Nothobranchius furzeri: one gene and its partners. The protein of the gene in region 5 interacts with the protein of the main gene of each other region in a biochemical or structural test. Links are inferred from orthologs where the notes say so. Each region holds a gene or a part of one and is shown on either strand. Other genes may lie near its edges.

Evidence for each region.
Region 1: the proteins of dlg1b (region 5) and tmem178a interact in a test that uses a peptide from one of them, tested with the Homo sapiens proteins (2 studies listed by IntAct, with this or other methods). The link is inferred for Nothobranchius furzeri from reciprocal best matches to the Homo sapiens genes DLG1 and TMEM178A.
Region 2: the proteins of dlg1b (region 5) and gucy1a2 interact in a test that uses a peptide from one of them, tested with the Homo sapiens proteins (2 studies listed by IntAct, with this or other methods). The link is inferred for Nothobranchius furzeri from reciprocal best matches to the Homo sapiens genes DLG1 and GUCY1A2.
Region 3: the proteins of dlg1b (region 5) and adgra2 form a complex in vitro, tested with the Homo sapiens proteins (2 studies listed by BioGRID and IntAct, with this or other methods). The link is inferred for Nothobranchius furzeri from reciprocal best matches to the Homo sapiens genes DLG1 and ADGRA2.
Region 4: the proteins of dlg1b (region 5) and pbk form a complex in vitro, tested with the Homo sapiens proteins (2 studies listed by BioGRID and IntAct, with this or other methods). The link is inferred for Nothobranchius furzeri from reciprocal best matches to the Homo sapiens genes DLG1 and PBK.
Region 6: the proteins of dlg1b (region 5) and vang-like protein 1 interact in a test that uses a peptide from one of them, tested with the Homo sapiens proteins (2 studies listed by IntAct, with this or other methods). The link is inferred for Nothobranchius furzeri from reciprocal best matches to the Homo sapiens genes DLG1 and VANGL1.
Region 7: the proteins of dlg1b (region 5) and ctnnd2b interact in a test that uses a peptide from one of them, tested with the Homo sapiens proteins (2 studies listed by IntAct, with this or other methods). The link is inferred for Nothobranchius furzeri from reciprocal best matches to the Homo sapiens genes DLG1 and CTNND2.

Annotation. Positions count from the first base shown.
Region 1 is NC_091746.1:29,271,271-29,275,713, reverse strand, and holds the start of tmem178a (transmembrane protein 178A), read left to right. Parts: upstream 1-1,500; 5' UTR 1,501-1,598; coding exon 1,599-2,106; intron 2,107-4,443. UniProt on the Homo sapiens protein: Acts as a negative regulator of osteoclast differentiation in basal and inflammatory conditions by regulating TNFSF11-induced Ca (2+) fluxes, thereby controlling the induction of NFATC1.
Region 2 is NC_091753.1:35,473,994-35,478,788, forward strand, and holds the start of gucy1a2 (guanylate cyclase soluble subunit alpha-2), read right to left. Parts: upstream 3,122-4,795; 5' UTR 1-3,121. UniProt on the Homo sapiens protein: Has guanylyl cyclase on binding to the beta-1 subunit. Isoform 2 acts as a negative regulator of guanylyl cyclase activity as it forms non-functional heterodimers with the beta subunits.
Region 3 is NC_091757.1:39,981,322-39,985,321, forward strand, and holds part of adgra2 (adhesion G protein-coupled receptor A2), read left to right. Parts: intron 1-820; coding exon 821-984; intron 985-1,302; coding exon 1,303-1,516; intron 1,517-1,659; coding exon 1,660-1,824; intron 1,825-1,905; coding exon 1,906-2,104; intron 2,105-2,191; coding exon 2,192-2,341; intron 2,342-2,426; coding exon 2,427-2,588; intron 2,589-2,810; coding exon 2,811-3,011; intron 3,012-3,135; coding exon 3,136-3,325; intron 3,326-3,449; coding exon 3,450-3,658; intron 3,659-3,743; coding exon 3,744-3,871; intron 3,872-3,955; coding exon 3,956-4,000.
Region 4 is NC_091742.1:11,217,589-11,222,370, reverse strand, and holds pbk (lymphokine-activated killer T-cell-originated protein kinase homolog), read right to left. Parts: upstream 3,199-4,782; 5' UTR 3,134-3,198; coding exon 3,070-3,133; intron 2,546-3,069; coding exon 2,353-2,545; intron 2,194-2,352; coding exon 2,054-2,193; intron 1,480-2,053; coding exon 1,310-1,479; intron 1,216-1,309; coding exon 1,086-1,215; intron 958-1,085; coding exon 772-957; intron 648-771; coding exon 415-647; 3' UTR 253-414; downstream 1-252. UniProt on the Homo sapiens protein: Phosphorylates MAP kinase p38. Seems to be active only in mitosis. May also play a role in the activation of lymphoid cells.
Region 5 is NC_091751.1:34,825,871-34,829,870, reverse strand, and holds part of dlg1b (disks large homolog 1), read left to right. Parts: intron 1-2,009; coding exon 2,010-2,109; intron 2,110-2,419; coding exon of another isoform or gene 2,420-2,453; intron 2,454-4,000. UniProt on the Homo sapiens protein: Essential multidomain scaffolding protein required for normal development. Recruits channels, receptors and signaling molecules to discrete plasma membrane domains in polarized cells.
Region 6 is NC_091754.1:55,610,482-55,614,481, forward strand, and holds part of vang-like protein 1, read right to left. Parts: intron 2,861-4,000; coding exon 2,429-2,860; intron 1,928-2,428; coding exon 1,752-1,927; intron 1-1,751.
Region 7 is NC_091751.1:61,421,604-61,426,155, forward strand, and holds the start of ctnnd2b (catenin delta-2b), read right to left. Parts: upstream 3,229-4,552; 5' UTR 2,939-3,228; intron 1-2,938. UniProt on the Homo sapiens protein: Has a critical role in neuronal development, particularly in the formation and/or maintenance of dendritic spines and synapses. Involved in the regulation of Wnt signaling.

The DNA of each region.
Region 1 (4,443 bases), on a different chromosome or scaffold from region 5:
CACTTCACATAATAAACATTCCAATTCAGGTCAGTTCATTAAGCCAATAAGAAAAGTTTCCTATATAAGGAACCCAGCAAATAGCATCATTACAGCAATCTTCATATCATACACCTTCCTCATACACCAGGGAACTAATGGACCATGGGTTGTTATGATCAATACCCCCCCCCCCCCCCCCCCCAACACGCACACACACCTTTTAGGAAGTGACCTCTATCATCTTGCTGTTTCAGCACATCATAGAGAGGATATTCACACCTCGGAGAGAGAATGGGCTCTGGCTGGGCGTTAATTAGACCTCTGCTTTGTTCCATCCTGGCCAGTGACCCCTGGTCTGATTCCTCAGCTTTAGTTTGCTGGAGCTGCTGAGTGTACACTGGTAGGGCTAGGATTATCTTCCTAGTCCACCTCATCTAACATCAAAATCCCTTTAAACTTTATTTGGACATATAAGTGTCAATGAGTTCTTGTTGCTTTAGACAGAACGTTTCTCCTGTTGATCAGTTTGTACCTTTTCTTGATTTTTTTTCTTCAACATTCTTCTGTTTGTAAAAATGTAAAATTTGTAGGAAAGAAGACGCAGCTTCCTGTCAGGTGTTGTGTAGAAAACCAGACCCTATCAGGGGAAGCTTGGTTGAGCACCGACGGGATGGAAGAGTTGTGTTAAAAGGTCAGATGATGCTGAATCTGGAGGCAGTTTTGCTAAGCAAAGCTGTGTGTGTGTGTGTGTGTGTGTGTGTGTGTGTGTGTGTGTGTGTGTGTGTGTGTGTGTGTGTGTGTGTGTGTGTGTGTGTGTGTGTGTGTGTGTGTGTGTGTGTGTGTGTGTGTGTGTGTGTGATTAGGCTAACCGGTGAATGATCATGTAAAAACATCTGATTCATTAGATCTGATGATGACAGGTAGTTATCTGCAGGTTGGCGGTGACAGACTGTAGGTAGGGGGGAAGGAGGTGTTGTGTTACAGGAAGCAGCAGAAGCCAACAGGGAGAATGTTGAATTATTGATCAACAGAAAAGTCAAGCTTACGTATTTCCCTCTGAGAGGCTGAGAGCTGCAGTCACCTGAGATTTCCCACAAGGCCACGGTCACCTGGTTTCCAAGGAAATGCAGCAACGGTCCTCCTGATTCGCTTATATAAGAGTCAACGCTGTGGGAGAAGGCCTAATCCAGCTGTTTGAAGTCATTAAATTAAGCATCTGTCTTTGCTGCGAGCAAACCTGTTTTTGCTATAAAACACAAACAATTCAGTTTATTGATATAGTGCCAAGTCACAACAAGAATCTTCTCCAGACACTGTAAAAAAGTAAACATTCCTGTTGAAACTACCTTTCACTGCAATGAGCAACACACCTGTCTTTTCTGTAAACACACCACTTTTTGGTGTAAACATGCCTACCTGTGCTGTGTTACATTTTTCCGGAAGATGTACTTCCGGTAAAAACGTTTTATTTTGAAGGAAGCTCACTTCCGGCGCCGCAGTGTTACCAGTGTTTACCTTGACGCAGCGCGGATAGTCCGTCAGTCGGCATGACAACGAGCTCTCGAGGGCAAACGAAGAACAGCTGACGAGGATGCGCGCGAGGATGTCAGCAGAAGATGCCCAGTAACGGAAATAGCGGAAGCGTCGGGACCCGCTCCGGTAACGGGAGTGGGAGCGGCTCGGTCCATGTCCCAGCCATGGAGAGAGCCCGGCCGGCCACGGTGAAGGTGTCCGCGGTGAGCCTCGCGCTCAGCTCGCTGTCCTTACTGCTGCTGGTCACCGCCATCTTCACCGACCACTGGTATGAGACCGACACCCGCAGACACAAACAGAACTGCGACGTTTCCGACTCCAACGACCAGAAGAACCGCGAGATGCCCATCTACCACCTGCCGCTGGTGGACACCGGCAGCGGCGGAGCCCGGCAGCGGGATGTGGCGCTGATGAAGCCCGTGCATGTGGGCAGCAGAGAGGAGGAGCTGCTGGAGAACTGGCGGGCCATCCTGGGGATGGGCATCCTGGAGACGGAGTGCGGCAGGCCGCTGTTCCCCAAACACTTCGGCCTGTGGAGGGAGTGCTTCTTCAAAGACCTGGACCCGGACATCGACAGGCTCATCGACCGGGGTCAGCGCACACACACACACGCACGCACGCACACGCACACACACTTTGACAGATGTTTATATCCATTTCACACAATTTTCTACAGCACAAGTGTGAGTGCGCGCACACACTCCTGCAGTGACAGCACCTGCTGACATCACACCAGAGGGTGAAAACATCCCAATGCTGTAATTCTGCAGTAAACGTCACCGTGAAGCATTCTGGGAAACGGTGTCCAGCTGCTGTCGTCTTTTCAGATCCCTCCGCCGCTGCTCAGGTGTGAAACACTTCCTGTTGTTGAGGAGAGTTAAGGTTGGTGGTGTCAGCGGTTCTGTCACCATACTGAGCTAGGTCTGTTTGTTGGCTGGCTGTTTAGCTGGTACTTATTGGTTAGATGGTACTGGTGGTTGGTTGGTACTAATCAGTTGGTAGTCGTTGGTTAGTTGGTCTTGGTTGGTACTGGTTGGTGGTTGGTTAGTTGGTAATGGTTGGTACTGGTTGGTGGTTGGTTAGTTGGTACTGGTTGGTGGTTGGTTAGTTGGTATTGGTTGGTACTGGTTGGTGGTTGGTTAGTTGGTCTTGGTTGGTGGTTGGTTAGTTGGTATTGGTTGGTACTGGTTGGTGGTTGGTTAGTTGGTCTTGGTTGGTACTGGTTGGTGGTTGGTTAGTTGGTCTTGGTTGGTACTGGTTGGTGGTTGGTTGGTTGGTTGGTACTGGTTGGTGGTTGGTTAGTTGGTAATGGTTGGTACTGGTTGGTGGTTGGTTAGTTGGTACTGGTTGGTGGTTGGTTAGTTGGTATTGGTTGGTACTGGTTGGTGGTTGGTTAGTTGGTCTTGGTTGGTGGTTGGTTAGTTGGTATTGGTTGGTACTGGTTGGTTAGTTGGTCTTGGTTGGTGGTTGGTTAGTTGGTATTGGTTGGTACTGGTTGGTTAGTTGGTCTTGGTTGGTGGTTGGTTAGTTGGTATTGGTTGGTACTGGTTGGTTAGTTGGTCTTGGTTGGTGGTTGGTTAGTTGGTATTGGTTGGTACTGGTTGGTGGTTGGTTAGTTGGTCTTGGTTGGTGGTTGGTTAGTTGGTATTGGTTGGTACTGGTTGGTGGTTGGTTAGTTGGTCTTGGTTAGTGGTTGGTTAGTTGGTATTGGTTGGTACTGGTTGGTGGTTGGTTAGTTGGTCTTGGTTGGTGGTTGGTTAGTTGGTATTGGTTGGTACTGGTTGGTGGTTGGTTAGTTGGTCTTGGTTGGTGGTTGGTTAGTTGGTCTTGGTTGGTGGTTGGTTAGTTGGTATTGGTTGGTACTGGTTGGTTAGTTGGTCTTGGTTGGTGGTTGGTTAGTTGGTATTGGTTGGTACTGGTTGGTGGTTGGTTAGTTGGTATTGGTTGGTACTGGTTGGTTAGTTGGTCTTGGTTGGTGGTCGGTTAGTTGGTATTGGTTGGTACTGGTTGGTTAGTTGGTCTTGGTTGGTGGTTGGTTAGTTGGTATTGGTTGGTACTGGTTGGTTAGTTGGTCTTGGTTGGTGGTTGGTTAGTTGGTATTGGTTGGTACTGGTTGGTGGTTGGTTAGTTGGTATTGGTTGGTACTGGTTGGTGGTTGGTTAGTTGGTCTTGGTTGGTGGTTGGTTAGTTGGTATTGGTTGGTACTGGTTGGTGGTTGGTTAGTTGGTCTTGGTTGGGACTGGTTGGTGGTTGGTTAGTTGGTACTGGTTGGTGGTTGGTTGTACTAATTGGTTGCCATTTGTATTGGTTGGTTGGTGCTGGATGATTATCTCCCTCTCTGATTTCCAGTCTTGAGGTTTTTCGTTGAAGAACATGTTTTTGTTGTATGTGGTCAGCCATATCTGTGATTTCTACAGGTTTATAATATTTATAGTAATTGATGCTTTATTCGTCCTCATAGGGAAATGGTGTCTCTGCGTTGGGCACATCCCTGAGGAGCAGTGACTTGTACGCCACCGAGTGCAAGGTCACACATGGCCTGCTTGGGGTCTGGGATTGAACTGTGCACCTTCCAATCGTTGCCCTGTCCACTTGAGCCACCATCTGGAATTCACAGACTGGTTTCTGTTGCATGAACCCGTTTCTGATCTGAGACCAGCAGGCTGAGCTCCATAGAGCCTCTCAGAGAAACTGGGTGAAGAAACCGTTGGCCAGCATTTCCAGCAGCCTGAGAGTCCAAACGATCTGACCTCTGGGCTGCTGTTGGCACATCAGATTATAGCTTTCTAAATCACATTATGCTCCATCATGTTTCATCTGATTAGCTTGCATTAGGCTGGACCCAGATCAGAATAGAGCTGCTCATGTTTGGTCTGAGGACAAGCAGCAGCAACAAACAGCTGCTGTCTGGGATGTTTGTTTGGTTTT
Region 2 (4,795 bases), on a different chromosome or scaffold from region 5:
CCAAGAGGAGAATATTGAAGGATGCTTTGCCCCCTTTTTGGAGGCACTCGCATGTTTAGCTAAGCTGCTCATTCCACGATGCACAAATACAACAGAAGATGGATTGGAAAATATTTGGCTTAAAAAAATTCCAAGAATTTTTAAATGGCACATTTAGAATTATGTCACCGTTTCGCAGGTAAAACATGAGTTAAAAAATTATCCCGCTACAAGGGCTATTATATTTTAGTTTAAGTGTTTTCTGGAGTTTGTTTTTATTACCAATAATACAACTAAAAAAAACAAGTAGTCTATCTAGATATGTGTTGCAGCTACTAATACAAAATGAAATGTGCTTAAATGCTATATGCCAAAGGTACATTTGCCTCCTGTTTACCACTGCTTATACAACTCAGAAATACATGTTCAGTAAGCATTTTTTCCAAGTTCTATGTATAATTTGTCTTAGTTGTAGCTCCAAAACATACTTCCATGTACTTCTTTTATTAACGGTCTCTGATTTTTCCAAGTAAGGTGAACTAATCAGATTTTACAGTATATGACAGGGGTCATAAGCAAAACTGGCCATTTAATGAAATTTCATTTAAAAACAATTAAAAATAAGTTATGTGGAATGATTGGACAAATATTCCTTATGAAATAATGCTTGTATCTCACAGAAAATTTAATTAAATAAAAATCCAGCTGAATGTGATGATAGTTAAACGTCATGGTCAACAGGCCATGGGGACATGATGCCTGATGTGAGCATACATGAGGACAAAAAATGGCTCCAAGGGCAGTTAATGGAGCTTGCAGCGGTAGTACAAGCTCACTGGCCTCCATCAGAGGACAGAATGATGCTCTTGTCTGGTACTAATAACAGCCATGACCTTGACCTCCATTGGCACAGCATGTCTGTTAATTATGGAGCCCGATGGGACCGACAGAGACACTGAAACAGACATGATGCATCATGCAAGTGCATGCATGTGGGCACGCACACATCCCTATGTTAATTTCCTGAAGGTTCTTGTTAATTTATTTGACTCTCAGGAGCAACATGACCCCAATCCACTGCACAGACTTTCTCTCTATCTAACAAACGCCCACACACGCTCTTCCCTCACACACATTGTGCACAAGCTCTGCCTCTCTTTCCTTATCTGGTTGCTTGCACTTACCAATCAGTCCGCAGCCCTACGGTCATAATGTGGGCATTTAATAAAGCCACTGCTACAATGAAACAAATTATGTTCCAAAGAAGATAAACCTTCGAGCAGAGGGGCTGCCTGGAGCTGGCCGCCAGCCATTTATAGCCAAGCGCAGACAGGCCACAAGATATAAAGGGCTGTTCTTGGTGTTTTAAAGTAATTTCATTCAGTAGCTACATATATCATCGAGATGACATCAAATTTTAATAACTTATCTTGGAAATTATTTGACAGTTGACTCAGAAACTAAAAATAAAGAACTGATGGTCCTGGTGTGATATTACACATATGAATTTAAATGTGAAAGTCCCTTAACCAAGTTATGTCAACTGGTTTTGGTTGTTTAAAGGTGCAATAAGTAAGAAGTTTATGGTGAAATAACCACTTAACCTTCTAATGACTCTATCCAGTTGGAAGGAAGGTTACATTGAAATAGATGTCCTTCTCATCGACTGGTGGTTGCCAGTTTTTCTAACAAGAGCTGAAGAGAAATGTAGCCTTTATATTTTTTTTTACCTTCTGTCCCGCCTCCATACTTCCTGCTCCGAGAGCCAGTTTTAGCATCTGTAATTTGACACCAGCCAGGAAAAGGCGGCAGCATTGTGGAAAGAACGTTGGCCAATCAAAGGAGGGGCCCAGAAGCTATTTTTTGTAAACCTACAAAGGCATGGTATTCTTATTGTTTTACTCTATTATCGGGTGAAGTAGGCTAGAGGCTAACATTGAGCTAACAATGCTAACAGTGAACTAGAAAAAAATTGCTGGCTACTCAAGCAACTTTTTCCCAGCAATTCCAGCAACAACTTACCAGCAACTCAATGTTATAGTGAAATGTTTTTATCTACTTATCAAGCCAATGTGTATGACTAGTCTCTGCTCATCTAGAATCTTCTAGTGCTGATCTGCAAGGCCGGATTATGGGCAAACTGGGCACAGGCCCAGGGGCCCACAGCTACAAAGGGCCCACGCAAGCAGCAGTCTTTTTTTTTTCTTGTGCAGCAGTCTTAACGTTGGAGAAAAATGTTGACAAGTAATGAAAATTGCGCCCACATTTTCTAAGTTAACACAATTTATTTTAACAACGGTAGTTTTTGCATCTTAACTGTTCCTGCTTCAGCACTCTCCCCCTGCACAGCGGCCGCAAACTCACTGATGCGCCTGCAGCCTCTCAGAGTTCCTGCTGCTCTAAACATTGAAAGGGTCATTTAATTTTCTGTTCCTCACTTCTGGTGTCTGTTTGTTGCAACAGATTACATTTTACAGCAGTCTGATCATCATTTAAATACATAAACCATCACCTGGCTTCTAGTCCACGCTATCACCATTATTTTAATTGGTGTGTGTGTGTTTTCCACTTCAAACACTGGTCTAACCAACCAGACCAGTGTGTCCAGTAACATATTAATGTTACAACTAAACAGTTTCACTTCATGTAGGCTAGGAACATTTCACCTGCCGTGGCCCGACTGCTTCTGCTCCACATAAACTTTGTGCATGATCAAATGTCTCAACAGGTGCTTTCTGAGCTGAAGAGGTTATTCTGCCTCAGACAGACTGGATGTGTCATGCGTGCCCATATTGGAGACGGGAACAAGCGCTATTCAGCCAAAATTTCATAATCAGAGAACATTTTTCCAGGTGACACATCCCTCAGAGAGACAGCATTTCCAGACCGCTTCAGTGGAAGGAAATCTTACCGCATCACTGTGGTTCTGCGCTGCACTACAAACCCCTCTACAGATCTTCAGCTCATTGTCCGTGTTCGCTCCCAGCCGCGCTGAGCAGTGTCCAGTGTAAAGCACTGAAGTTCTGATGAGAATCTTTTCTTGATTTATTTAGTTACCCCCGAGATGTGCGTAACGATTAAAATGTCAGCTCATCTGTGTGCGCATCAGTGTGCATTGAGGTAATTCTTTCATAACAACCAACATTTTTGAGTTTATCCGTCAAAATAAACAGTCAAATGGAAATATCTGTAACCTGCCATTTAACAGTTTTGCCTTCTTGTGAAGATTTTTTCAAAGAGAAACTATTAAACTTGATTAACCCCAGAGCCATGCGCACTGCGCTGTACTCCGTGACTGTAAATGAGGGGGGAAAACGATTTAATCGGATCTTTTTCTTACCTTTTCACCATGGTTGAATGTAAAAATTTCATTGAGTACAAACTTTAGTTGCACCAATCTAATGAGACAGAGCCCGGATTTGTATTCTGAACAGTTTAAACATGTTTAAAACGGAGACATGCGTGACGCGTCTAAAATTCACACCTGCTCAGCTATTATGGAAATTAAACTAACAAGATGAATAACATAAAATTATTTTAGGCACAGACAACATCCCCCACACTTTTGAAAAGCTTGCAACATGCCTGCCACCAGTTACAAATTGTGAAGGGGAATGATTTTCACAAATGGCAAGAATAAAAAATGAACTGAGAACAACACAAACTCAACAGCGCCTCAATGCACCATCACTGATGGCAATTGAATCTCAGCTTGTCAGGAATCTGGACTTTGATGACATTGTAAATTAATTTACTAATATAAAGGCCAGAAAGCAGTTTTTCTGAAGGCGAGAGGAGACCAACAAGGAAACAAAAAGAGGAAGGAGCCAGGAGTCAAGAGGAGGAAGGAGACAGGAGATAAGATGAGGAAGGAAGCAGGAGACAAGAGGAGGAAGGAAACAGGAGACAAGAGGAGGAAGGAAACAGGAGACAAGAGACAAGAGGAGGAAGGAGACAGAAGACAAGAGAAGGAAGGAGGCATGAGACAAGAGGAGGAAGGAGACATAAGACAAGAGAAGGAAGGAGGCATGAGACAAGAGGAGGAAGGAGACAGGAGACAAGAGAAGGAAGGAGGCATGAGACAAGAGGAGGAAGGAGACAGGAGACAAGAGGAGGAAGGAGACAGGAGACAAGAGGAGGAAGGAGACGGGAGACAAGACGAGGAAGGAGAAGGGAGACAAGACGAGGAAGGAAACAGGAAACAAGACGAGGAAGGAAACAGGAGACAAGACGAGGAAGGAAACAGGAGACAAGAGGAGGAAGGAGACAGGAGACAAGAGGAGGAAGGAAAAAGGAGACAAGGGGAGGAAGGAAACAGGAGACAAGGGGAGGAAGGAGACAGAAGACAAGACGAGGAAAGAAACGGGAGACAAGAGTAAGGAGACATGAGACAAGAGGAGGAAGGAGACAGGAGACAAGAGGAGATAGGAAACAGGAGACAAGAAAAGGAAGGAAACAGGAGACAAGAGAAGGAAGGAGACAGAAGACCAGAGGAGGAAGGAAACAGGAGACAAGAGGAGGAAGGAGACAGGAGACAAGAGGAGGAAGGAGACAGGAGACAAGAGGAGGAAGGAGACAAGAGGAGGAAGGAAACAGGAGACAAGAGGAGGAAGAAGACAGGAGACAAGATATTTAACCCTTGTATCAACATAAGTAAGCGAGTTTTAATATTAACAATGTTATGAAATGTCTAAAAAGTGCTTCTGGGTGGCAGCAATGTTGGGGGAGGCCGGGTGGTGTGTGTGTGTGGGGGGGGGGGGGGGGCTGCAATGATAATCTGGCTGTAACTGGCAACAGTTGCTTAGAGAAGAATAGC
Region 3 (4,000 bases), on a different chromosome or scaffold from region 5:
AAGATAGTAATTTACGCATTTTGGTTGTATTTCTACACCCATTAATATTCCAAGATATACATTTTACATATTTCCCTGTCATTTCCAATTGTAAGTTCCAATAGGATTTAAACCCGCAACCATGCTAGACAAAATAAACCTTTCCTCTCCTGAAGAAAAGACCCACTGTATGGGTGCACACAGCCAAAAACATAACAAATAAAAAAAAACATTCCCATGAACAGGGCCTAAACAAAAACCTTATCGGGTCCGTAGGATGCTGCTCTGCTTCTCCCCTCCTAAGATGACAGATGATGAGATCTGCCCTCTCCAACAGTCAGACACCAGATGTCTCAGGCTCCTCGAGATTACGTCATCAATCAGTCGAATTTGGGGTCTCCCCTCCTTGCACCCTCTTCTCCTGCTCATCCTCGTTGCTGAAAAACTTTTCAGCTGCCTTTGCCAGTTGAAGCTTACATTCCCCCCCCCCCCCCCCCCCCCCCATCCACTTTACACGTAGTGTTGCCGGGAACGCCAGGGTATATTTGACATTGCGCTCCTGAAGCCTTCGTTTCACAGCGTTAAAAGCCTTCCTTTTTCCCCCCTTAATTTGCATTTTGTACAATCGAAATTGATACTATGTTCTCTGTATTTGACCCATCCTCTGGGGGAGCGGTGAACTGCAGACATGGCTTCAATTGGGAACCATTTGGTGGTTTAATCGAACCAATCGTTACTTTAATGCCAAAACCAATCATGTTTTAAATAAATCTAAATATTTAATCATAGGTGTTGACTTGAACTTGAATTGACTGAACCTAAGCTCATTTTTTTCTTACAGGAACTTCAACTCAGACTACCTGTCATGTGACTGTGGGCTGCGTTGGGTGCCGACCTTCTTTCGCAGCAGCACGGCGCGGTTAGGAGATGAAACGCTGTGTGCCTATCCCAGTAGCCTGAGGGGAATGCCCCTTCGTGCGCTGAAGGAGAGCCAGCTGAGCTGTGGTGAGGACCTTGGCTGCAGGGAGACACATGAATGAGGCGGTTTGCCACTTTATTTCAGAGAGAATTACCCAGTGAATGACAGTCGCACTGTAATGAAGCTTGAGTCCATTCTGGACGTCCTGTCTCAGCAGGGACATGTTAACTAAATGTGTGAGAACTCTGTGTTGACAGCTAGCCCCATGGGTTTTATTGACAAATTGTTGCAGTCTGCATCCAATATGCTTCTGTGGAAGCATTTACCAAAAGTTCAATGGTTTAAAACAATTTACAGTGAAATGTGACAGCCATATCTGGGACTATTCCCACCGTGTTCCTCAGAAGGTCCACCGGAGCTGCACACCATGTCCCTGCTGCCATCCCAGCGTCAGGTGGTCTTCAGAGGAGACCGGCTGCCCTTTCACTGCACTGCTGCCCTTGTGGACAAGATCACCAGCTTACACTGGCGCCACAACGATCAAGAGGTGACATCCAACCCAGACAAGGGTGTCCAGCTGGAGAATAATGTGGTGCATGACTGTACCTTTATCACCAGGTACAGAAAATAAAATCTGGTTCAGCTTTGACTTTCTTTTTCATGTTCTTCTCACATGTGCTTTGTGTTTATTCCTGAGTACATTGTTCTAATTTAGCATTTGGGGATAATGTGTTATGATGACCTAACATGTCTTCATTCAGTGAGCTGATACTATTCAACGTCCATGTGGAGGCCAGTGGGGAGTGGGAGTGTGTGGTCACCACTGGGCGGGGCAACACCTCCCGCACTGTTGAAATAGTAGTGCTGGAGAACAGCGACACCTTCTGTCCTGAAGACAAAATCATCAACAACCGTGGAGAGTTCAGGTTTGGCATAGTAACATCAAACTGTACGAGTGGCTTCGAATGAATTTAGTATTTCACTGGGTGTTTATTTTGGTTCCACAGGTGGCCGAGAACGGTGGCAGGCATCACCTCTCATCAGTACTGCCTGCAGCCGCATCGCCCCTCCCTGACAGTCGAGGGGGAGCGGGAGCAGAAAAGAGCGTCTCGGTATTGTGACCGCTCTGGAAAGTGGCAAGAGGGCGACTACTCAGAGTGTCACTACACCAACAGCATCACTCGTGTTCTGCACACTTTCATCCTGGTCAGTACCACAGAACAAAGGTCTTTTTGAGAATTCCAACAATAAAACATTAATCTTCATAAAAAGTCACTTGGCTTTACATTTCAGAGGCCGATCAACGTGTCCAACGTTGTGACTGTGGCCCATCAAGTGCAGACCTACACCCTGGAGGCTGCGGGTTTCACCGACTCTGTGGATGTGCTGTACGTGGCGCAGATTATGGAAAAGTTTATGGAATATGTCAAACAGCTGAGAGAGGTGAGAAATATTTAATATCAAATAAAACAAAAGTGTGTTTAAAGATTCCATTCTAATGGTGTGAACTTGTGTGTGCTTGCTCCAGCTGTCGGAGATAATGGTTGAGATGGGGAGCAACCTGATGCAGGTGGATGATCAGATCCTCGCTCTTGCCCAGAGGGAAAAGAGAACGTGTAGCTCCATCATCTACTCTCTGGAGACTTTGGCCTGGCCTCAGCTGCACACTCACGCTCAGGACTTCTCTGTGGTAATCTGAATTTTTATTAAGTATTTGTGTGTATTTCATTACAGCTCACACGGTGTAATTGATTGCAATGTTTGGAAATGTTGTTGATTTCATATTAGGAGACATGCATGAATCAAAACGCAAAATCCAATGCAATTTTACATCTTTCTGGCATCATTAATTTGAAAAACATGAGTGTCTGGACTTATTTCATATGATCAATGTATTAAATGATTTCGACAGGTGTCTAAGAACATTGTGATGGAGGCCCACCTAGTTCGAACAGCTCATTTCACCGGCATGACCTGCACTGCGTACCATCGTCGTAAAACGTCTCTAAATCGGCCTGGAGTGGAGCTGACAGACCCCACCAGTGAACAACAGCTTCATTTCCGCTGCAGCACTGGCTCCCATAACACCTCCCTCAATAATTTCCCCCTGAAGGTGAGGGTGCTACATACTGCTTCCTTAACAGCACGTTTGATCTATTTAGTCTAATATTAGGATTGGAAAGTAGATTTCAGAGCCAAATATTAAAGATTTGTATCCGTTTTACTGTTTTATGCAGAACTCCGTAGCTCTGGCTTCTGTGACTCTTCCAGCCACTCTATTTCCACCTGATGCTGCGGCTGATTGTAAACTGCAGTTTGTAGCTTTCCGAACAGGAAGCCTTTTCCCTCTGTTACTAAACTCAAGCAACAAGGTTGAACACTCCAGCAGAAGATGTGTGAACTCTCCCGTCATCTTTGCTGGCCTTAGTAAGAAATGATATATTTTTAATTTTTGTTTTGCACATTTGGGAATCGTCTCCTAAAGTAAGTGTTGGCAGTCATATGTCCTTTTAAAAAATGCAGTTTCATCTTTTCTCCCAAACTGTGACAGATGGTTGTAACATGTGGAACTACTCTGAGCCGATCTGGGTGTCCCTGCGTCACTTGTCTCCCGGTTCAGATGCAGTGGCAGCTCAGTGGATGCCGAGGGGACCTGAGAGTCAGGGAAGCTGGAGCCAGGAGGGCTGTCAGCTTGTCCACAGTGACAGAAGCACCTCAACAATACGCTGCTCCGTCCTCAGCAACTACGCGGTGCTTCAGGTGGGGGAGGAGATTTTATGATCTAATCATTTAGGATCCTCTAGGTTAGACTTTCTTCTGACTTGTGTGTGTTTTAATTTTCCAGGAAGTGCCTGACTTTCCACACCCCAGCCTGATTGCTGTCAGAGTGCTCCACCCTGTGGTGTATGCATGCACTGCAGCACTCCTGCTCTGCCTCTTCACCATCACCATCACACACATACTGCATCACAGGTACTGACGCGTATATGTGTAGCAACCTTTTTTGATGTTGCTATCTGTCACATCTTCTTATGAAACTTCCCCGTGATTTTACAGTTCAATCATCATATCAAGAAAGAGCTGGCACACATTGTTGAATAC
Region 4 (4,782 bases), on a different chromosome or scaffold from region 5:
TTTCTCCTACATGAAGAGGTTCAACCTACAGTCACTGGAAACTTCTCATGTTAAAGCAAAACTTCAGTTAGAAAAACACCAATCTTAGCCGGATCTTGTCGAAACCGGTAAGCACAAACCTGTTGATGCATGGATGCCATCTTTGTTGTTGGGCATTTGTGCTTTGTACATTTTAATAAACCAGTTGGTTTTGACTCATTACTGCAGATTGTCTCCTGATTCATTGGAAATGTTGGAAAAATTGGGACGAACTTGTTAGAATTGTAACATTTACTGTTTGACAGAAACACAAACGAATACAAATACAGGAAAAGCTGACAGACAAAAACAATCTACAGAACAAACAAATGTGGGGAATATGAACTGAGAACTTCTGATTTAGACTGAAATGTAAACATGTGCTTGTTGAGTGAATCAGTCGATAACGATCGCCGCCTCCGCAGCCGTGCCCAGAGGAGCGTTGTCCTCTAGAGCCTGGACGATCTGAGCTGCCGATGGTCTCATCTTAGGACATTCTGATGTGCAGACGCAGAAGAGCTCCACCACCCTGCGGTACGGGCTGCCCAGAACCTCCGTGTCCAGAGGCGGTCGTGTTCCTAAACGCTCATAGTAGGCTTCATCATCAAATGTCTCCTCCATTGAGTCTTCTGAAATAAACCCAATGGTTAAACTTGTTAGCTTTCACCACACAACACTTTTCTTCTGTAATGTTCCAGTCAAAGGAAGCAGCTACTAAATTCTACCTTGAAATGTTCCTACAGAACTTCTCACCTTCATATTCTTCCTCCTCTTCATCATTCTCCAGCAAATCCACATGAGGCATCGCCAGAGTCATCATCTCCCACAGAGTCAGACCGAAAGCAAAGATGTCCGCCTTATCGGTGATCTCTCCTCCTAATATTGCTTCTCTGGGATTCCATGGCTCTGTGCCGATGTACTCTGCTTCTGGGTCAGCCACTGAAGAGAGAGAGAGCACTCTATTTACTGCGATGGAGCCATACTGTAATTCAATTCATAACATAGCAGAAACATGTAGAAATAATACATATTGTGTTGCCAGTAAAGAGCTGAATGTGAACGTTTACCTATCATGTTCTCATCTAACTTCAGAGAAACGCCAACATCACAGATCTTCACCGTCTCAAAGTCTCCTCTGATGACCACATTGCACGACTTCATGTCGCCATGCAGCAGCTTCTTCTCATTGTGGAGATACTGCAAAGCAAATATGTTTAAAGTTTTGTTTTAAAACAGGAAAGATAATGAATAATGTTTCATTCCACCAAGCTTTGACAATAAAGTTAATTACCATCAGGCCACGAGCCACATGCAGAGCCACCTTCTCTATAACAGCGGCAGGGAAAGCGGTCAGACCTTCCTCCTTCCTCTTCTCGATCAGGTCATTGAGGGACTGCTCTCCTCCGTACTCCATCGCCAGGCATTTGGAGCCGTCTTTGGCTGTAGTGAAGGCACGAAAACCTCAAAAAGACAGAATTAACAATGCGAGTGAAACAGAGTTGTGAAAACGGTCAATCTCATACAGCCTCCAGACTTCAACGGTATGTTTAAAGAGCAAGTCACCCCCAAATCAACTTTTCCCCCCTGATAAACTATATAAATGTGTGTCTAATAGTGCTGCAGACACGTGTAGTCAGTTTTCTGCCTAAAACTGTCAGTGTTGTGCCGTAGTCAGGTAAAAACTCTGCACTACTTTTGAATTTAAATCCGCCATCACTATTGGCTAAGAGGTACCCTAGAACGTTAGCTGGTACCATATGATGTCACAATATCATTGTGAGCCTGTGTGTGTATTTGATAGCGGCTCCGCCCTCTCGGTCTGCTAGGCAACAGCATTTGTTGCATTTGTCAAACAGGAAGTGGGAGTTGAGTAAGAATCTGGTAGGGGGTGACTTGCTCTTTAAATGAGCTAAATCTGCACAGTGGTTGTTTATTGTTGAGAAAATTCAATGATGACACATCTTTGGTGTCCAGGATGATGTGAGCATCTTGTGGGAATTAGAAAAACCACTCATGCATGTTAAGGCTGGCTTACCAACAATGTTTGGGTGATCGATTCCCTTTAGGACCTCCGCCTCCTCATTGAGACGTTTCTGATAAACGTCCGCCTGTTTGGATGCACATCTACTGTTGATCTTCTTCACAGCCCAAGGCGATGCATTCAGCTTTCCCACTCTAGAGATAAAAACATACATTTGTTACTGGAGCTGAAATGATTCACTTTCAGATATAATAATCACTTAATCATCCATCTGAATGGAGAAACAGTGGTTTGAAGTTTAGAAGAGACCCTGATGTCAGGAAGAGGTGCTGTGTGAGCCCCTGACATCAAACCTGTTCATGAGGTAAACGTCGACTCCAGTCCCGCAGCCCAGCTTCTTCATGAAAGGTGATGCGGGGATGGTGACAGGGGTGCTGTCACCACAGCTGCTGCTGTTGGAGCCCTTTGACCCGACCCTTTTAGGGGTTTTATACGCGCCCTCGTTGACTGGATGGGAGGCCATTCCGTTCAAGAACAATATTGGACCTTACGGAAAAAATAACAGTTAGCAAATACGTTATTTTGATCAGATGTTAAACTGTACAATAATAGCAAAACGAGTTTGAGGGCTTTTAAATAGCGCCGATTGAAAGTTTAATATATTTGATAGAACAATGCCGATCTATAATGTCTAATTGCCCGTTTACCATTAAGAACGGAAATAAAATGACAACTTTTGAGTGGAGGCTGGCACAAGGCCCGTTAGCAAAGGTGTTATTGAGGAAATGTTTCTGTTTTGTAATGTAGCAGGATTTGGACCATTTTAAATCAAGGTAAATGAAAAGTACAAGCATGTTTAACAACGGGAAATACGCTTTATACTCAGTCTTATGTAATATTGTTGAACAGAAACCACCCAGGCAAACGACAGAGGGGAAGCCAAACCTAACGTTAAAAAAGGCTAAAACCAACTGTAAACGCTGTTAATACCGCGTTAATCTTTTAGCACCTTACAGGATTTCATGTCAGTCCAATGAGAATCAACTTTAATTTGATAAACGTAACCTTACCCGAGTTTTTGTTGCTGTCTGATCTAAAAATAATCTCCTTCAACAAAGAAACCGCGCTGAACATTCAAACTAGTACTAAGGCAGACACGGAAGCTGAAGAGGGACAAACTGCTGCTCTCTAAAAAGTGCGCTTTTAAAATGACAAAACCACTCTCTAATGCAGTTATTGTAATGCCGCTGTGCACCGCTAGAGGGTGCTCATGTCAATGAAATAGGGTTCTGAACAAGTGTACCTTCTCAAAGTTTGTTTACAACATGCATTTTTATCACTACATAATTATTTATCTACCGATTTGTCTCAGATATATGAGCTAAGTTCTTCATCTGAAATCAGACGTGTTTTTTACTTTTTTTTATGTTAAATCTATAAACACCTCTAGGTTTTTTCAATCTTTTTGTGGCGGTTTCTACGATTCAGTTTAGTTGTTTTCTATGGTGCATTGTTTCACGATATATACATTAATTTATGTATTAAAAACTATTTATGCAGCTTTTACCTTCAAACAAATAATGATTTAAAGCTCACTTTTACTAAGACTTGAGAAACGTGAGTGGAACATGAAGCATGTTAAAATTTGTTTCACCAACTTCAAGCTTTTGTCGAAAGAAGAAAAGTCGAGACCTCGACCTTGACTCTCATGATCCCAAACTTAATTCCTATTTTTCCCACATCGCACAGAGCTGTGCAGCTCAATCTCCTCGCTAGAAGAGAAACAGGAATGTGGTCTGATGACAAATGGACATGGAAGGGAAGAGTGGGACATTCTATTATTCTCCCAGTTCCTGTTTCACCTAGAAGTTAAATCAGATCATGCTGGTGAGCACCACTGCCACATGTTTTGGAGCACTTTATAAAATAGAGTGGGTCCGTTACTGATTAGAAAACAGAGAATTTGCTGTGGGACAACCGATTTCTACGGCTGTGCCAACATCTACTGTTGGTAAAACACAGATTATTGGTTAAAAACATAAACTCTCCTTTTATGGTCATAAAATGTGAACACTTAAAGTTCAGGATCATCCAGGATTTATGTGCCATAAATCTACTTCTGATTGTGGTTTTCACATGTGGACTGCAGCACACGACGGACGTATTGCTGAGCAGTGCAAACGTGAAGCATCTGCTCTCCAGTTAAAGGTATCAACAAAATACTTTTGACATTATCTTTCACGTTTAAGCTCTTGGAACTAAAAATCAAAGCATGACCAGTGATCATGCAGGAAATGAAATAAATGCTGACTTTGTTCCTCTGCTGTGTTGGCCTAGAAAAAAAAAATCACACTCACCTGTAGTTCAAGACAAAAGCAGTTCCAAACTGAGTTCCTCCATCGAGTCTGGAGGAAAACACATTTGCCTCTCGGGATTTCAGAAATTAATCACGTTTGCGTTTGGCTGTGCTCATGCAAATCTGTCCAAAACCTTTAGAAAACACTTGATGACTCATAAATTTTGCACATCGCTGCAATTAATTTAAGCCTGTCTCTATCTCACTAGTGAAATATGCTCACTATTTCCTCTTTTGATCCAGAGGTATCTAGATTAATGTTTTCCATATAAGTGGGTTTTCACAGCTCTTAAATTTCCCCTTGAATCTGACTTTTAATCATCTTTATTTAACATATTATAAACATTTCTGTGAAAACCTGTCGCAATTATGGCACAAGTTCCCTAGTTTGAGTCAAACCATCTCTGAGTCTGTCAAGTACTTTTTG
Region 5 (4,000 bases):
GAACTCGACCGAACACGCAGACTTCTGGTTTCACGTAGGAAGTCAAAACAAAACAAACTGAGCTGCTTCAAAGTTTTACCGTAACTTTTGAGAGCTAATTACTTGACAACTGTAAAGCGCCGGGTCCTGCTAGGCCAGATGGAAACAGCCCGCAGGGATTTGTGCTTAAGGCATCCTTTTCTTATTTCTCCTACCACCGCGAACGAGGTCTGAACTCTGGTTTTATAAACTTCTTGGTCACACCCACATGTATTTCACTCATTAACCACTTGATGGCACTGTGGCTCTTTCAAATAACCCAGTCTTCCAACCATGAGAGATTCATGCTCACAATTTTAACAAAGTAATTCCAAATAAAGCATCAAAAAGTATGACTTTAAACAGAAAAGAACTAACTTCAGGTCTTAAGCTTGACTGTATCACTTTTAGAATGGTTTTGAACTGGTGAAACACAATGGCAGAAGTTAACATGAAAGAAAAAAACACAAGCAGTTTAGGTTTGTAAATGATAAAAGTTTAAACATTTACTTGGAACACCTTGAATTTTAATGGTGAACAACCTAAAACACCTTTTGATTATGGATAAACTGAAAAATACCAGGGTTTTCATAAAGACTAAATCCTGGAATCTTCCAGAATGACCCTTGAGAAGTTTGACAAGCATCCCGGCCTTGGGGAGAGTCAGTTCTTGGCAGGTTGAGGTAAGACAGACCAAGTCCTGATAATGTCCGGCTTCTTGATTGCTTAAGGAGGGAAAAGAAGTGGTAAAATTTACGTTCCTGGGACAAAATGTAGGAGTTAGCCAGATGTTCGAAAATCGGAATTTATACGATTGTAGGCCAGTTTCAAATTCCCCCTTTTTTCTGCTAATTGTGAAAGAAACTTTTGAGTGAAAATGTTATTGTTCTTCTCCGTGTGAGTCCAAACAAAGTTAACCCGAGGATATAAAGTGTGGATTTCCGCTACAAATGTATAAACTGAACGCCAAGAGAAATCACTAGACTGATTTTTTTCCGTGAATAAAATAAATATGTCAGGCAGGAGCGTCTCAGAATCTGTCTGAGATCTGTCTCGGTGAGACAGATAATAGCAATCCAAAGTGATTTTTATGTGTGATCTGACAATTGATCAACCATTGCTTAAAATTAAATACAGCTTAGCCGGTTAATTGCTGTGATCATAAACCACGTAAACGGCAGCACGCAGAAGCACGAGACAACATTTTACGTGATGTTTACTTGTTGCTATGAGTAATAAGACAGAAAAAGCCACGCCAAAATAAGTTTAGGAAGCCCACTAAGAATCATAATAAAAGCATTTAAAATAAATACCATACACAGTTGAGGAAACGTTGGTTTAAGTACCTGATATGAAGTGGTCGCTGCATAAGCGAAAACCTTTACTATCGGGATCCCACAGCTTCATTTCAGCCCGGTCACTAGCGCGTTTTATTAGGATGATCCAATGTTTGCGGCGTTCCGGATCTTGGGGAATCCTGTAGAAGGCTCTTCCCTTGTTTCGTCCGCGTCTGTTCTGGCATCCTGAGTTTTCTTACAATAATAAATAGCCTAGATGCGGTCTACTGCCTGCCAAGATGGTGCCGTTTCAATTTGAACTGTTGCATGCTGGGAGAAGTGACGTCAACTCCCAGAGCTCTATAGACAGCTGATAGAGAAACGGACCTGTCTTCAGATCAGGTCCGGTAGGACCAGGACCTGACCCATAGTGGATCATCTTGTAGCTTCTGCACGTCTTCAGCACGCTTCCTCCTCTTCTTCACTATTCTGCCTTCACAGTCCCTCTGGGAAACCCCAGCCTCAGTCATGATACCTACAGAAAGGGGTCAGAACCGGAATCGCATGGCCCAGTTCTGATCCAGCTTGGTTCTTAGATTACAGTTTTGTTTATCTTTAGTATCAGAACTCCTGATTCTGTCAGAACCGACACCATCAGAACCCCCTCATCTCCTCCTGTTTGTGTTTACCCCATCACCTCCTCCTCCTCCTCAGCAGTCCATCAATGACAAGCGTAAAAAGAACCTCTTTGCCCGAAAGTTTCCGTTCTACAAGAGCAAAGAGTCGAGCGAGCAGGAGACCAGCGACGTCGACCGTAAGTACTGGACAGCCGATTGGTCGGTGGCAGGAAGAGAGATCAGCTGGTAGCGGCGTGATGCTAGGCGGTCGTCACGGCGATGGGGCAGGCGGTGATGCAGCCATCATCACATACGATAAATGAGAAAATGATAAGACTACAACTGATCTGGAACCTGAACAGGAAGCTCCTCTTATCTCTTCCTGTTTGGAGCCAACATGGCCGCCCTGACGCCGTGACAGCCACCTCCTCTGCTCTCTCCGTCTGTCACTGGAACCCAGTAACTTCTTGTTTCTGTGGTTTTTCTTTCTGCTGCTGCTTATTGCAGGACAACAACGATGACATGATGCCCAAAAGTCACAGTGAGTAAACAACAACAAGTAAACAGCAGCACCCCCACAAGGATCCTCTCAGATCAGAAACCAGACAAAGGCTTTGATTTGGATTTCACAGAATTTTACTCATTGTTCTTGTTTTAATGAAGTAGAAATAGTTTTATCTGCGGTTGCTATGAAAACCAGAAAAGTTGCTACAGATGCAGGAAAGTGAAAAACTGTTGTTCTGCTTTTATTTTATTTTATTATAACTTTTATGTTTTTATAGGAAACTTTTAGTTTTTGTTCCTTTCTAAGGAGACGGGCCGGATCCTGATAGATTCTGAGAACCCCACCCACCCCTCCTCACTTCAGAACCTTCAGAACCCGTCCACTTGTTTGGTCTCGGCGTGTTTTCATGTAGAGCTGAACGATTATCGTTTTATCGATTTGAAACGACGAGATCATCAAAGCTGGGTTTTTTCTAGCGCTCCTGGCTGGTCCGGGATCTGTTGTGTCAACTTTTATAGACATCCGGGTTTTTTCCTGTTACGAGAGCAGCAGTGTGTGCGTGCGTGTGTGTGTGTGTGTGTGTGTGTGTGTGTGTGTGTGTGTGTGTGTGTGTGTGTGTGTTCAGAGATGAGCACATCGTGACAAAGCTGGATATTTTGGTTATATTCCCATTTTGTTTTCCTTACACGGTGCTGCTAGAGCTGGCAAAAATGGCTGTCTCTCAGCCCCGAGGCAGGCGAGCGGGTGAGGGAGAGAGCAGCATTCACCAAAACGACACTAGAGGCTGATTTAGACTTCTTCGTCAGCTCCGGTGTGGAGTCGTGCACTTAAGTGGACGTGAATCCTTCTTTTAAACGGTTTGAGGTTTTCTGAAGGCACACCAGTTTGGTGTTGGAGCGGCATTTCAGTGGGAAAAACCAATCAGACGAGACATCTAGGCAGCCTGCCTTGGTGAAGACTCTGTGCATTTTTGTTATTAAATATATGTGAAAGCTATTTTTCCTTCAGTTGGCATTAATGTTACTTCTGTAGCACTCATCACAGAGCCCACTCAATCATAATCCTAAAAATAACTAAATATAGTCATGAAGTTATAAAATGATCATTAATGTCATAAAATAAATGAAAGATTATATAAATTCTAGTTGTAAAAGAAGAAAAACAGTAGATTTAGGTTAAAGCAGATTTAAATGACAGGGTCTCTAAAGGTCACCAGGCTGTCAGAACTCCGTACGGATAAGACGCTCCAAAGTCTGGGAGCAACAGCCTGGAAGGAGCAATCAGCTGGACTTCATCTGGTCTTCAGAAGCACCTCCAGATATAAATGTGTGAAGCCAACTTGTAATAGTTTTGCCTATTGTGTTTAATATCGTAGCCGCACTCAATTTATGTTGTTTTTCTATCGTTAAATTTTAATTTGTTAATGATTGTGTATGTGCATTTTATATTGTTACAAGTATGCCTATAGATACATGGGGTAAGCCACAGCAAGTGTTATTTTTTTATCTCTTAGTTTGTTGTGGTTCAACGACTTTGCCTTCTTATTCTTTACTTGTTGTATGGTAGGAGGACCTGCTCGAAAA
Region 6 (4,000 bases), on a different chromosome or scaffold from region 5:
CCAGCTCTCACCCTGGATTCTCATGTCAGTTCTCTTGTTCGCTCTTCCTTCTTCCATCTCAGGAACGTTGCTAAGCTGAGTCCCATTCTGTCCCGCTCTGAACTTGAGACAGTTCTCCACACCTTCATCTCCTCACACTTAGACTACTGTAACTCTCTTTTCACGTGTCTGAGCAGAACCTCCCTGAACCGTCTACAGGTGGTTCAGAATGCCTGTGCTCGGCTTCTGACCAAGTCCTCCAAACACACCCACATCACCCCGCTTCTCCTCCAGCTTCACTGGCTGCCTGTCAACTTCAGGGTTCATTTCAAGATCCTGGTTCTGGTCTATAGGGCCTTACATGGACAAGCACCATCTTACATTGGTGATCTTCTTAGTCCCTACACCCCCAGCAGGTCCCTGAGGTCCAGTGATCAAAGCCTACTGGTTGTGCAGCACCAGGCTAAAGACCAAAGGTGACAGATCATTTGCTGCTGTGGCCCCCAGACTCTGGAACTCTCTCCCCCTGAGCCTGAGATCAGTGGACTCAGTGGTCTCCTTCAAAAAGCAGCTGAAGACTCACTTGTTCAAGCTGGCTTTTGTATGACCTTCTTCACCTCTCTCTCTTTATTCTGCTCTCCCCACCTATTCCACCTTCCTCAGGATCCACTGATTTCCCTCTTTCCTGTTCACTCTCTCTCTTTCTTTACATTTTTTAAATCACAATTGTCTATTTTTGCTCATTTTAAATATATTTTTAAACATTTTCTAAATGCTTTTTTATCTTTTTACATTTTTTGTTTTTGTGAAGCGCCTCGTGATTTTTATCTTGAGAGGCGCTATAGAAATGATACTTTCTTCTTCTTCATTCTGAACCATAGGCTTTTACACGTATGTAGTGAGTCCAGTGACCAGCTCCCTTATTTACTCATAATGTCGATGTAACTAAGCTAGTAGCATAACTTTCATATTAGCACAAGTTCTGACTGACTACAAATCTATATTAATTTTGTTTCCTCTGAACTTTGTACTATTATCACTTCTGTTGTTGGTCTCAGCATTGTGGCTTTTGTGTTTCATTGAACCTTCTGGGCCACGGTACTGACAGACTGACAAAAACATTATATGAATATTCGTGGATTTAACAGTTTAATAGAATAGTTGGTAAAATTTAATAACAGAGCGCAACAATTTCAGGGTATCTGCAGGTTTAAGGGAGCCAAATTTAAGACTTTTTAAGACCTTTTTAAGGCCACTTTGACCAAATTTAAGCTGTTTTTTAAAATTAAATTTAAGCTATGATTTCCAGCTATTGCCTGGAACGTCGCGAACGTGGGATTAGCCATCCAGTTACCATTAAACTTGCACTTTCCCATGGCGCAAGCTCCCCCTAGCTTAATCAGCTAATGTGCTCTTCTAAAAATAGTCCCCTTTCACTGAATGTGTACGGTTCCGCTTACGCCAACATCGTACACAAAAAATGCTGAACACTAGAAATTCACAAATTTTTTTTAGAAATAAAAGAATCTTGTTTATTGGGTCTTTGGTAATTTAAGACCTTTGGAAACTGTATTTAAGGATTATTTGTCAGTTTTAAAGATTTTTAAGGCCTTAAATTTGGAAAAGCAAATTTAAGACTTTTTACGACTTTTTAAGGACCCGCGGATACCCTGAATTTGGATATTCTCCTATTTCTTCCAACATGAACAAAAAAAAAAAAAAAACCTGAAACCTTTTACAAAACAAAAAAGATTTTTGTTTTTTATCTTCACCTGAGCTGTCCCAGATTGTAGTGCCTCGTCGTGCCGTCCGTGGAGCGCGTGACGCACACGGAGAAGCACGGCTGGAGCTGCCGGAGCTCCAGTAGGACAACGGCCAGGTAGTGGATGAAGAGCAGCGCGTCCACCAGGGACACGGCGTACTGAACGATGCCCTGGTAGTTCTCATCCTGCACAAACAAAAACATTTCAACAAAACAATCAAATCTTTTGACCTTATTGACTGTAAGAATGTGTTTAAATCGCAGAATCCTCGTGACGAGCCCTCCGGGAGGTTAAACGTGTGAGACTAGATCCGGAGCTTTTAGATATGAGGGCAGATTTTAAAGACGGAAGCCTTTTAGACCTTTAGTTGGTCTGTTTTTCTCAAACATGGTGAAAGAAGCATCAAGAGGGATTTTAAATGATAACTCACACACTTAACACACACATCACTGGGGCAGCCAGAAACTGTGCTTCGGCTGTGTTTTTCACTTAGCTTAGCTGCTCAAGGCATTGAAAATAAACATGTCTGCAGCGCTCAAGACCTCTCACTCTAGTCTCTAAAATCCCTCGTCTGTGTGTGTGTGTGTGTGTGTGTGTGTGTGGATTTGTTTTTATTTTTAGTTACTCTCCGGGCTTACAGTTATAGCTCTCGTATTTCACGCCTGGCATTAATTCTCCTCACAAACCTTAGCGTCGAGTATCCGGACACTGTAGAAGAGCCAGTAGGACACAACAAAGAGTAACACCAGCACTGCGAGCAGGACCCGGAACACAAAGACACGTGGGAGTCCCGCCCGCGCCGGTCTGAAGAAGAGCGCCCAGACGGCCAGCAGTAGGATGAGCAGCTTGAAGGCCACAGAGATGTAAAGGCCCTCGCAGGCCGTCCCGCAGCTCTGCAGCTTCTCTGGCCACAGGATGTGTGGCAGCACCAGGAAGGCCAGCGGCGTGAGGAACACCAGCAGGCCCAGGATCACAGCGATGGTCCTGGTGAGATACAGGCGACAGTTCAGCCCCACGCTGTCCTCAAGGTCCTTGGTGATGCGTACAATGTCCTCCTGAGAGAGGCTGTGCTCTGATGTGCCCGTGACGGCTGTGGTGGTCTCGCCCCAATTGTCATCCTAAGAAGAAGAAATCAGAATGAACTTAAAAGTTTGTAACGTTATCAAAACGCTAACAAGAAGTTCCAAGAAGCTGTTTGTCCACCCTAGTGAAGGTGGATGATTGACTAGAGAACCACCAGATGTGAAAATATGGTTGTTGCTTCATAACACGTCCAATCCCATCCCACATGGCCCAAACACTGGTCCAATTAGGTTTTCTTATATGAAGCTGGGGTATATTTGTTAAGTGTGTGTGTGTGTGTGTGTGTGTGTGTGTGTGTGTGTGTGTGTGTGTGTGTGTGTGTGTGTGTGTGTGTGTGTGTGTGTGTGTGCTCTGTCTTCTCCATCCCCAGTGAGTCGTGGTGGATGGCTGCTTATACTGAGGCCCTGTCCACACGTAGCCGGGGATCTGCCAAAACGTAGATATTTTTCTACGTTTTGGCCTGTCATCCACACAAAAACGGAGTTTTTTCACACAAAAACGGATCTTTTTAAAAACTCCGGCCAAAGTGAAGATCTGCGTTTTCTCCGTTTTGGGTGTCTGCGTGTGGACAGACAAAACCGGAGTTTTAAGGTCCGCAACGTCACTTTCCGCGACAAAAAAATGCTGACATCACGTGTGCGACCTGTGTTTACACTAGCTGACAGCATGGATGCCCTCAGAGCTGCGCTCGCTTTATCAATTGTCCAAGCGCTTTTTGCTTGTTTGTTTTTGCAAGCGGAATTACTGCTCCTTGCGGAAGACCACAGACGAAGGACAAGGTTAAGAACGGGGGAAGTACTGCCGCCTACAGGTCTGGCATGTCCTTAACAACGTATTTATCCGGGTACGTGTGGACAGAGTTTGTTTTTAAACGAGGTGGTGTGGATGCAAGTTTTTGGAGAGGCGGATATTCGTTTTTAAAAAAACCCAGCTAGGTGTGGACTAGGCCTGAGTCAGGATCCTCTGGAGGTTTCTTCCTGTTAAAAGGGAGTTTTCCTCTCCACTGTCGCTACATGCTTGCTTAGTATGAGGATTGCTGTAAAGACTCTGACACTAGTCAGTGACTCGATGCGACCTGCTGGGTTCCTTATATAGGAAACTTTTTACTGATAGGTTAATGAACTGACCTGAACTGGAATGTTTACTTTGTGAAGTGTCTTGAGACGACTCTTGTC
Region 7 (4,552 bases), about 27 Mb from region 5:
AAAAATACAGCTTGCTGGCAACAATTTTTAGTATCTACTGCCCCCATCACCAGGGAAAATCCATGCTGTCACTTTAAGCTTAAAAAGAAAGATTTAATTCAAACTTTAACTTAAACAATAATGTTTATGTGGTTGGCTTTGTAGATTTTGGATGATGGCAAATTGAGCAATCCTGAGTAGACTAAGGTTTCCTAAAGCACTCCTGAATTATTTTTCTAATGATCTCTTCTGTATTTCTTGTTATTTTGTGGAATTTTTTGTGTTCCACATTTATACCTAAAATGTGTTTTCTTTAAAGTAATCATTACAAAATAATTAGTTTTAAACGTTTTTTACAGATATTTTGTTGAACTCCATTTACATTCAGGGGATTTTCACACTTCAGCCCAGAGCTCTTCACCAGTTGCATACTCACCTGCTAGAATAAACCGTGCAACGCAGCTGGCATGGACCGCTAGCCTACTTTAGCAGCACCAAAAGCTTGCTAAAAAAGCTTTTAACTAGATTATAAACAGGGCATCATGCTGAAACTTGCTAATTCAAACATCTTCTAACCTTGTTTCATGAAAGTGACTTGACTGATTGAAATTCACAAAACACTCAAAAGCAGATCCCCTGATGTTTAACCCTTTCATGCACTATGGTCAGACAGAAGCTGTCGGGATACTTGCAATTAAGCCACCACTTTGATTCTAGTGCATCACTTTATTGGCTGCTAATTATGTCTGTGAATTAAGTTTCAATGGCATTTTTATCATTTAATTAAGATAATTATGGGGCGATGGTGGCAGAAGAGTTGCGTGCCTACCCAGTAATCCTAAGGTTGAAGGCTCGAGCCCCGCTCATGGCTAGGTTGTGTCTTTGGGCAAGACCCTACACCCCCCTTGTCTGCCGATGGTGGTTGGAAAGGGAGTGGCCGGTGGCCTCGCCCCTGTCAGTGCGCCCCAGGGCAGCTGAGTCAATAATTTGTCGATTTTTCACAAATCTAAATGCATGTTTGAGTGGATATTTGAAAAAAAGTTTTGAAGGAAACAAAGTTCAAATTCAGTTTAAACGTATGTGTTTTGCACCTAAAGATGAATAAGGATGGTTGGGGTGGAGAGGGTGTGTGTGTGTGTGTGTTTATGTATATTCATTTAGGAGACGCTTTTATCCAAAGCGACTTACAATTTATAACCTATAGGGCATGTTGTGATCTGTGGGGGAAACCGGAGTATCCGGAGGAAACCCACGCATGCATGGGGAGAACACGCAACTCCACGCAGAAAGGCCGCAGTTGAGCCGAGTTTCGAACCTGCAACCTTCGTGCTGCCAGGCAACAGTGCTAACCACTGCGCCACCGTGCAGCCCGTGTGTGTGTGTGTGTGTGTGTGTGTGTGTGTGTGTGTGGAGGAGGGGGGGGGGGGTCCACCCTTGACCTCTGTCATAATTCATGCATGAATGAGCAAAACTACCACGGCCTTTAATGTGTGTTCACTTTTCAGCGGACCCATTTTCACTGGCAAGACGAGGAGAAGCACACATGTACTAACAAGGGCAGCATTCCAAACATGTGGCTGCACACTTTGGTTGTTCGAATACTAATGAGCAGAACCTCTAAATGGGATGCAGCCACAGTAGACTTTCTCTACTCTCTCATTTAGAGCTGTACAATATAAGAAACTATTATAATTCTGTTGAATATAATCATTACTGTATAACTTCTTATACATTCATAGTTTTGTCACGTAAATTTCCGCATGCTGATTTTTGATTTAACACACTGTCTACATTCAATAAAACATGTCAAAAGGGCTCATATTGTTTCTCCTCAGCTCATCTGTACCTGTACCTCTTACTCATATCTGTCATCCTTCACCTGCACTCACTCATCTGCACGTCCACTACCAGATCCTCGTCTTTATCACCCTGTCACTTTTAATTGTTAGGTATTTTTTTCATCCTTGCACCTTTCTGGACTATCACCTGCCTGCTATGCACCTTTTGGTCTAAATCATTTAATAAACCGCCAAACTCGGCCATGTTTCCCTTAGCATAACGGACATATAGCGGATGAGACATCTTTACTGGGCATGTCAAATGTTTAACAACACTAAAAACCCAAGAGATTAATGAAATAAGAGCATGGAGCTGAGCATGGCTAGAGTAACCTGCATGCTTCTGAAGGGCGTGTCTCAAGCACAAAGAGGACAGTTAAAACAATCTAAGACAGCTCCAAGGAGCAAACGTTCTGAGGATCTCTGCTAAAACAGAAACCCGGCGTTGGCTGCGTGATGAGTGAGATTACTCCAGGGTGAAGAGGAGAAACAGCTTGCTACTGATCAGAAACAGTCTTTTTAGTGATCACCACGGAGCTGGAGCTCATGCAGCAAGGTGCACTTCATAAACGTGCACATGCTTTCATGACGGCAGAGGGAAACAAAAAATAGGCTACAAGGTCCAAGCGTCTCTCTGCAAAGGCACAAAGACGCGCAGCCAGAGCACGTTGGGCCGCTGTCACGCGCGATAATCTCCCGAATATCGCTCAAATTTGGGTCAATCAGAAAGTAAAAGCGTTTCCACAGCAAACCCCCGCTCATCGCTGCGACCCCCACACACTCCGGCCTCGGATGGATTGATGCACAGCCAGCTGAGATGAAATGGGGGGGGGATCCCGTTCTCAGTGCAGAATCAACGCAAGCGCGCAAAATCCCATCAGCGCTTCACGAGAATTACAAAGACACCATTCACACCACACGTTTTAGTAAACTGGCGCTAAATAAATCTGTTAAAAACACATCTGGCGCACTCATCCACTCATGTACTACATCCGGCCATATTCCCAGCAGGCTGTCACATTCCAACAATTTTCCCGTCAAGCATTTTGAACAGATGAGAGGTGCAGAGACGGGCTCTAGCGAGAAGAGGAAGCGGTAGGAATGACATTGCGCCTGCTTACTGTAAAATAAAATCCCTCGGGGATGGAGAGTCTCCTTTCTTCCCACTTGACTCTCGACGTGCGAATTTCCCGAGATTCAGACCATGCAGAGCAGGCAGACGGTCATTCCACCCCTCCGAAGTCTTTGCTCCAGCTCGGTTAGTGAGAAGAAAGCCTGCATCAGACAGAGGGGAGACGCCAGCTGTGGGGAGGAAATGATGTGGGAAGGTAGGAGCGGCTGGGCCGGAGCACTGCGCACAGGAGGCAAGGAGAGCGGCAGAGGTGCTTCCCCTCCCTTCCGCGCCCTCCCTCTCTCTCTCTCTCTCTCTCTCTCTCTCTCTCTCTCTCTCTCTCTCTCTCTCTCTCTCTCTCTCTCTCTCTCTCTCTCTCTCTCTCATTGCTCACAATAAAACATCCTCCCCATCCGTGCCAGACAGACTGGCAGACCGCTTGGGTACCAGCGTCAGCAGCGACACCCACTGGTGATGGAGATTATTACTTATATATGGAGAACTGTTAGTGCCACAGGCGTGCAACAGCTGGTTAGTGTTTGCTCCATGGCAGCAAAGCTTAGAACAACATTGAGCACCTCTTAAGTCGAGGCTTTGGTCCCGATGTATGTGATTTTCAATGGGAGGGGGGGGGGGGGGGGGGGTTAAGCTGAGATAGGTTTATGATCCTTTTTCCCTTTTTCCTGTGTTAGTATGAAAAAATTATTCAATCGAATAAAAAAGGCCTACTTTAAACTTTTACTCCACTAAAGCAGTTATCAGTACTTTTTACTCCACTACATTTTCTAAAAGTTTCTAAATAAAAGTATTTTAATTTTCATTTTGTCCGACCACCACTGTTCTTGTCAATGGTGGACGTTACTATGGCAATAGTACTTTAAACTGCGTTGTGCCCCTTCCGCTGGTCTGACACAAGCCCCCATAATTCGGGTCTGAAACTGAAGCCAACACGGAAGTGAAAAAAATTGCAGTTCTACCCTCATCCACTAGGGGCTGGTGTCAGAAGCGAGCAAATCCTCATTAACTCCCATGTTAAAAGTACCAAATTCACAGCAGAAATAAACATGTTCACAGCCTGGTTCCAAAACTTGTTTTAGGTTTAAATGATCTAGTTTACACTCATGACAACTCTGAGGGGGCAGAATTTTGTCACTCTTCTGTTTAAGTGTATTAAATGCCTAAAATTCTGAATAATTAATGAGCATCAGGCCCACGTGACTGCAGCGCTAGCGCTGGGGAAAGGCCTCAGCCTGAGCCTCGGCCTCGCCTGAAAACTGTTCCGCCATTTTCAGTCTCTCAACTTAGACCATTAGTTGAAGCATTTGTGCGTTCCTTTTTGGATATTATTTGGACAGGCGCCGCTGCGATCAGAGATGCGCCGAGCTGCCGCTGAGGGGAGGGGACCATACCGATAGTCGGAACCCAGCTCCACAAACATGTCATATCTCAACACATTTTCAAAAACGCAGCGTTATGTTAAATGCACTGGGTCTTACCCTACATTTAAATTTCATGGTTAAACAGTACATGTTAAAATCTAGGCTCAGCTAGTGCAAGAGCGGCAGTGACCTAAATACAGTAAAAAAATCATTATTTTAACAAAATATCCCTTATAAAATCACAC